2 linked regions of the Oryctolagus cuniculus genome follow. The protein of the gene in region 2 purifies or fractionates together with the protein of the main gene of each other region. This does not show direct contact. Links are inferred from orthologs where the notes say so. Each region holds a gene or a part of one and is shown on either strand. Other genes may lie near its edges.

Region 1 (3,653 bases), on a different chromosome or scaffold from region 2:
TCTCTCTGTAATTCCGACTTTCAAATAAATAAATAAATCTCTTTAAAAACAATTTCCGAATGAAAAACCTGAAAATCACACAGTTTATCTCCTATGATTATTTGCCAAGTTTAGTTGATTGTACCTTCTAAATATTACTGTGCTCTGCCTTGTCTCTGTTTCTGCCACTCTTTGCTATGGAACATCCGTTTTCTTTTTCATGAGATTCATAGCAGAACCTATAATTAGTCTTCCTGCATTTAGTCTGGTGCCCTCTTCTTTACTACCCTCTACGCTACAGCCAGAGTCACCTGCCTTTTGTATTTAGTTCTTCCCTCTCTCACCTGCAGTGATCTCTGGTGCAGTAATATTATACTGCCCATCCAGTGATGTGTATTATTCATAGGCGCTGCCATCAGTTTCCAGAATATCATTAAAATTCCTTAGTTTGGAATACTAGGATTCCAACTGTTCCTCAATCCATATCTGACATTTCTGCACATGTTTTGTTGTCAACCACTTTAAATTATTTGGCATTTTCTGAGGCTTCCCAGGCCCTTGTATTTTCCTATCTTGGTACCTTTCCCTCTCTTTGTTTGCCTAACTCTGCATAATACTACAGATTTTAAATACCGCCAGTTGCCAGAAACCTAATACAGTCTTCTTCCTGCTTGTGTTTGGCAATCCTTCCTCGATATTTCCACCTTTATAACATTTCTTATACCATGTGAAAATCATAGTACCTTCCATTCCACCTGTGATACCTACAAACCCTAGCACATACTTGGCACATGGTACTAGCTATGTTTGGCATATATATATATATATACACACACACACACACACACACATACACCTAATGTGCACTTCATGGGTGAGAATATAGTGCAGTAATATGAATTCCCAGCAAATACAAATGGAATTTATACAACTTGTTTTCGTTGCCAATTAATCATAAAAAAGTTGTCCAACTTTTGAATTAAGATATGATCAATGGCAAAATATCTTTTAAGTCTTTTTGGAATAAAGGTATTCTACAAAATATAAAGGAATATAACCAGGTTTCTTTATGCTATTTTTATGTTAACATAGTTTCGTTTGTCTTGTGTGGTGTGTTGAATGTGTCATCAAGTTCATGAAGGAAAATTAGTGGAATTAAAATCATTTTTTCTTGTCTTTTCTCATAGCATAGTCTTATATTGTATCAATTGCTCATTTCTCCCATTTTGTTAGAGAATTTAATATTATTTGTATGTTACTGGAAAATTTTCTCATAAAAGTAACACTGAATAATTGAGTATTACTTCTTTATGATCTATGTCATAAAAATAAAGAAGGGCTTATGTTATCATCTGGCATTTTAAAATAAGTAGTATTTTTAAGACTAAAGGAATGGAAAGAGTCCACTTCTCATTTCAGTTACTTTTCTGTTCCTTTAATTTTTTTTTAAATTTTTTTAACTTTTATTTAATGAATATAAATTTCCAAAGTACGGCTTATGGACTACAGTGGCTTCCCCCCCATATCATCTCTCCCACCCGCATCCCTCCCCCTTCCCACTCCCTCTCCCCTTCCATTCACATGAGGATTCATTTTCGATTCTCTTTATATACAGAAGATCAGTTTAGCATACATTAAGTAAAGATTTCAACAGTTTGCTCCCACACAAACATAAAGTGAAAAATAATAGATGATTTTTTAAATGATGATGAAATCAGATCAGACCTATTGTCATGTTTAATCCCAGTGAGAGTCAAGTTGGGAATTGATAATTTCTTCTTTTTTTTTTTTTTTTTTACAGAAGATCAGTTTAGTATACATTAAGTAAAGATTTCAACAGTTTGCACCCCCATACAAACACAAAGCGAAATATACTGTTTGAGTACTCATTATAGTATTAAGTCTCAATGTACAGCACATTAAGGACAGAGATCCCACATGAGGAGTAAGTACACAGTGACTCCTGTTGTTGACTTTACCAATTGACACTCCTGTCTATGGCATCAGCAATCTCCCTATGCACCAGTCATGAGTTTCCAAGGCTATGGAAGCCTTTTGAGTTCACCAACTCTTATCTTGTTTAGACAAGGTCATATTCAAAGTGGAGGTTCTCTTCCTCCCTTCAGAGAAAGGTACCTCCTTCTTTGAAGACCTGTTCTTTCCACTGGGATCTCACTCACAGAGATCTTTCATTTAGGGTTTTGTTTGTTTGTTTGTTTGTTTTGCCAGAGTGTCTTGGCTTTCCATGCCTGAAATACTCTCATGGGCTTTTCAGCCAGATCGGAATGCCTTTAGGGCTGATTCTGAGGCCAGAGTGCTGGTTAGGACATCCACCATTCTATGAGTCTGCTGAGTATCTCGCTTCCCATGTTGGATCATTCTCCCCTTTATTTATTCTATCAGTTAGTATTAGCAGGTACTAGACTTGTTTATGTGCTTCCTTTGACTCTTAGTCCTTTCATTATGATCAATTGTGAACTGAAATTGATCACTTGGACTAGTGAGATGGCATTGGTACATGCCACCTTGATGGGATTAAATTGGAGTCCCCTGGTATGTTTCTAACTCTACCATTTGGGGCAAGTCAGCTTGAGCATGTCCCAAATTGTACATCTCTTCCCTCTCTTATTCCTACTCTTATGTTTAACAGGGATCACATTTCAGTTAAATTTTAACACTTAAGAATAACTGTGTATTCTGTTCCTTTAATTTTTCAAATCACTTGTTAAATATAGGTTTTGTTCCCTGATTGTATTAAATGTTTGAATAAGCATCTGTATTTTAGAACAATGACAAGTTAATCATTCATAATTGGAAAATCTAAAATACTCCAAATTAGCACCAACACATGTCTCAAGTAAAAACATTATACATCATGAAACTTTCACACAAAATTGATAATGTATTAAATAATCTTCAGGTTCTGTGTATACAGTATATATAAAGCATAAATGAATTTCATGTTTTGAGTCATATCTCATCTCCAAGATATCTCATCTATATACAGATATTCCAAAAATCAAAAATACTTCTAGTCTTACGCATTTGGATAAAGAGTTCTCAAACTATATTAAATTATTAGAAGTGGTTACGTAATAAGTGCATATATGTCATATATACTTACTATGGCTAATATAATTTTACATAATCCAATGAATACTGTCTATTAGATTTTTGGTGAATTTTTTAAGTTGTAGAAACTTGAGTATATTATTAAATAATGTTAGAAAATCTCATGTTGTGTTTCCTCTTAAGGCACGTACACTGGCTGGTATGTTGAGAGAAGTTGAGAAGAAAAATGAAGAGCTTAATGTGTTGCTGAAATCACAGCAGGTTGAATCAGAGAGAGCCCAGAGTGATATTGAGCATCTCTTTCAACACAACAGGAAGCTAGAATCTGTGGCTGAAGAACACGAAATATTGACAAAATCCTACATGGAATTGCTTCAGAGGTAAACTAAGCTTAAAATCTAGAATGAACACACAGCATTTCTTCTCCTTGACCCTGAAATGCTTTTGTAAGCATTTTATGTATTCTGATAATAGTATAAGGTAATGGTAAGTAATTAGTGAGAAACTTAAGTCATAGTGAAATGAAGTATTGCTTACCCAAACTCATTACCAAAATTGTGACAGGATGCAGATCTCTCTTTCCATTTGGCTTTACTTCTTTA
Region 2 (4,008 bases):
TAATGATTCTTAGGATGAATAAACTCGAAGTTAATTTTAAGGAGGAACATTCTGATTAATGTTACTTTATCTCGCATATTAAATACAAACATAAAATCACTGTCTGAATGATTCAACATTCTAATTGCATGAATTTGGGCGAGACATTAAATCTTCAGTCTATTGAGACTGTGCCTCATCTGGCCACATCTTCTCTCCCATCTTTTATTTATAGTTTAAGCATTTATAATTCTCTAACAGAATAGAAGTCGATTAATTCAACAAAAATTTATTGCCAACTTTGTACCAGTCACTGTTCTAGGTGCTAGGACTTCAGTCTGTTTCTCAGTGGAAGACAGATATTTAACAAGCAAATTAATGAGCTTATCTCAGATAGTAACGGTTTTGAAAATTTGGGAGGGAGAAGGGGAAGAGAGAGATTTACTTTAGTAAGATCTCTCAGAAGTGTCTTTCAAGATGAGACATGAATGACAAACAAGCCAAGAGAAGTTCTGGGAGAAGCCAGTTCACGTGGCATTTTTCAAATTACAGGCCCTGACTTACTGTAAGTGGACCAAAAAGTCAATTTAGTGGGCAGGGATACAACTAAAAAAAATTAGAATATATCACATGAAATAAAACTTGTTTCAAGTATATGTATATATATTTAAACACATGTATATGTGCTTATATAGGTATGTATGCATGCCTACATGAGTCACATTGTTAAATGCATTTCTTACTATAGAGAAGTTAAAAAAAAAAGTTTGAAAGCCACCAAGATAGGACTAGTCAGAATTGAAAGCCTTAAATGGAGTAAAGAACTTTGTGATTTCTGGGAAGTGAAAAACCAGTATGGCTGAAATAAGCACTGGAGAGGAGTGGTACGAAATGAGGTAGTAAAAGTATATAACTTCTTCTCTCATTGTGTTCATTAAGAGACAACAAAGGAGAATGATCTCCCTTTGTAAACCGTCACTAAGAGAAGTTAGCAATTGTAGTTGACCCTCCATCCATGCATTGCAACCACCAATTCAACCATGGATCGAAAATATTCAGAGAAAAGTCTGCATTTGTGCTGAATATGCACTTTTTCCCCTTGCCATTATTCTCTAAAGAATGACAACTATTTGCATATCATTTACATTATATTAGATATTATATGTAATCTAAAGATCACTTAAAGGATATGGGAGCATTGTGTAGATTATATGGAAATAACACCACAACCATTTTACATAAGGGACTTGGATTTTGTTGTCTGCAAGAATCTGGGAACTAATCTCCCACAGATACTAGAGGATGACCATGCAGTAACATGACTGAAAATAATCTCTAAACTAAGAATATATATTATAGTGAGAATGTGGTTTTTTGGCAATAATTAAAAAATGGAAATCAAGTTCATAAAACTCTGGGGGAGCCCTCTGGTTCATTTCAGATTCTTTTTATAATAATGATGATGATGATAATAATAATAAACCCTTTGTGTTAGTTGGTAGTATTTAATTCTGTGAGTCTCTTGGCTATAAAATACAAAAGGAAATTATATAAGAGACCATTTAAACCAGTGGTATTTAACTTCTCTGGGCTGTCAGAATCCTTAAGTGTGAAAAAGTAGGGGATCATCTGTTCAGTAAGGCTTCTTCATGCTGTAAAATTCTATGATTTTAGACCCATCTACTATTTTAAACGTTGCGGAAAAAAAAAAAAGATCTGATGTTTTATCAGAATATCTTAAAAGGGGAAATCACACGACATACAATGAAGATACTGCCCTTGACTTGACAGTAAATGACACAGAGTAGGAAGAACTAGGAGATACAGCCTAAGTGATCTCGGTTAGTTTTCTGTCTGTGGTACTCAGATTGAGCTGCACTTTGGAATTCCTGAGGCCTTCTCACCTCCTGAGATCTGGATCTTGATAAATAACAAACTTCCCGAAAGGGAAGTTTAAACCTCAACCCGTGTGTAACTACAGCTCGACAAAGACTCTCGAGGCAAGGCAAATGGAAAAGTGAGTTGGCGACACAACTCACCTACAAGTTCTCCAATCATGAAAAGCAAGTAAAGAACAGCAGCAATGGTCAACCTGGTTTTCACCTTTCTCTGCTTCAGTAACTCTCTCTGTTTGCTGCAGTTGTCACAGGGGTCCACCTTCAAGCTCAGCTGACTGTTGGTCAAAGGTAAGTCCTGGTCCAATAGGGAATCGTCGTCGGCCTGGAGCGCCGGGTGCGCCCCGTTAATAGGCCTTTCCGGGGGCTCGGGCTCATCCTCGGCCACCACCACTCGAAGTTTGTTAAAGCGAGCCAGCCCCTCGTCCCCCACCTCATCCGAGAAGTCAAAGGCGCTGGTGTCATTTAGAAAGAGCGGCGCATCATCTTTCCTCAGCAGGGATTTGAGGCGCTGCCACGCGCCGGAGCCGGCCATGGCAGAGGCTGAGCGGCCGCGCCGCGGAACCGCTCGGTGCAGGCGGCCGGCCGGCGGCTCTACTTCACCGGAGCGCCAGTTCCCGAGGGCAGCGCCGCGCGTCCCTCCCCATCCTGTGGAAAACGAAACACGTTATAAATTAAAGGCGCCCCAACACTGCCCACAAGTTCCGAAGCCGCGGGCGGCGGGGCGCTGGGCCGGCCCCGAGGCGCCGCCGGGGCTCCGCGAGGGGGGCGGCGCATCTACCTGGGGCGCTGCCGCGGGGCCGCTACTCCCTTTCCCAACCCCCCGCCGGCTCGGCGGGGCCGGCTGGCGCTGCTCCGCTCGGGGCCGCGAGGGAGCGGGGCCGCGGCTCGCGCCCGCCGCGCCCGCCGCGCCCGCCGCGCCCGCCGCTCGAGGCCGGCTCCCCGGGTCTGACAGGTTCGGGGCCGGGCGCCCGCGGCCGCCGCCTCTCCCCGCCCTGCGCGAGGCCGCGCGCGTGCGCCGGGCGAGGCGCGCGAGGGAGGGGTCGGCGCGGGGACACACAGGCCCGGCGCGCAGGGCTGGGACGCGCGCGGGGGCTGCGCCGGGTCGCGCCGCCCCTTCGCCGGCGGGGTCGCCTCGGCCCCGGGTCACTCACTGGCCAAGCGCGGCGTTCCCGGGGCCCTTCCTCCTCCTCCCAGAAGAATGTGCTGGCCGGGCCGGGGTCTGCGGGCTTGGTGGCTGGGTTGGAACGGTCCCGCCCGGGGCTGGGCGTGGCTGCCCGGAGTCCCCTCCAGCGAAGGTGGGTCTCAGGAATCGCCGTCCGGGATCCTGGCCGTGGCAGCTTCTCAGAAAACAGCCCGAGTGCTTTCCTGCTAAGTGGGAAGCCAAGCGACTTTTCCCTCCTCCCATTGCTGCGTTTCTGGCTTGTTGGCAAGGGTTCCCAACGCACAGAAATGATAAATATTCGAGGAGATGAAAAAATGCTCATTTGTCTGGTTTGATCTTTACATTTTGTATAGTGTATCGAATTCTCGCACTTGCCCCATAAATATGGTACAGATATTGTTTGTCCGTGACAAAGATAAAAATACAAGCGAGGCTTAAAAAATTATTTGCTGCCCAGTCAAGTCCACTGGAGAGGGTGAGGCTGTTTTTGTCAGCAGTTCTGTGTCCTTCTTATGTTCACTATTGTTTTTCATTGTATTCTGTGCGCTACTGCCAAGTTCTTTTTGTCTCTCAGGTATTTACCGTGTGGACCAAACTTGAGCACAAGAAATCTGCTAGAGGTATCTCTTTGGCCTTTGGTTCTGTTTAACAAAAGAAAAGACAAAATCCAGAGATCATTTGACAGAATTGAGTCTTAAATAGTTTTTTCTGATTTTAAATCTAACTTTTTTTTTATTTCTTTGAAATGCACAACTAGAGAGAGAGGAGAGAGGGAGATTTTCTGTCCACTGGTTCACTCCCTAAATGACCCCAACAGCGAGGGCTGTTCCATGCAGGTTTCCATGTAGGTGCAGGAGCCCAAGCACTTGGGCCGCCTTCTACTGCTTTCCCTGGTGTGTTAGTAGGGAGCTGGTTTGGAAGTGGAGCAACCAGGACTGAAACACATGCCCTGAGGGGATGCCAGCGTTT

What was found. Proteins that work in one complex are often made in the same cells at the same time.
Region 1: the proteins of SLC30A4 (region 2) and CIP2A purify together in Homo sapiens (affinity purification with mass spectrometry; 3 studies listed by BioGRID and IntAct, counting the BioPlex papers as one, with this or other methods). This does not show direct contact. The link is inferred for Oryctolagus cuniculus from reciprocal best matches to the Homo sapiens genes SLC30A4 and CIP2A.

What each region holds. Positions count from the first base shown.
Region 1 is NC_091435.1:64,317,108-64,320,760, reverse strand, and holds part of CIP2A (protein CIP2A), read left to right. Parts: intron 1-3,234; coding exon 3,235-3,431; intron 3,432-3,653.
Region 2 is NC_091443.1:68,139,192-68,143,199, forward strand, and holds the start of SLC30A4 (probable proton-coupled zinc antiporter SLC30A4), read right to left. Parts: upstream 2,555-4,008; intron 2,523-2,554; 5' UTR 2,446-2,522; coding exon of another isoform or gene 2,410-2,445; coding exon 2,019-2,409; intron 1-2,018. Other genes in the region: collagen alpha-2(I) chain-like, read left to right, coding at 2,408-2,445, 2,555-3,172, 3,614-3,659. UniProt on the Homo sapiens protein: Probable proton-coupled zinc ion antiporter mediating zinc import from cytoplasm potentially into the endocytic compartment. Controls zinc deposition in milk.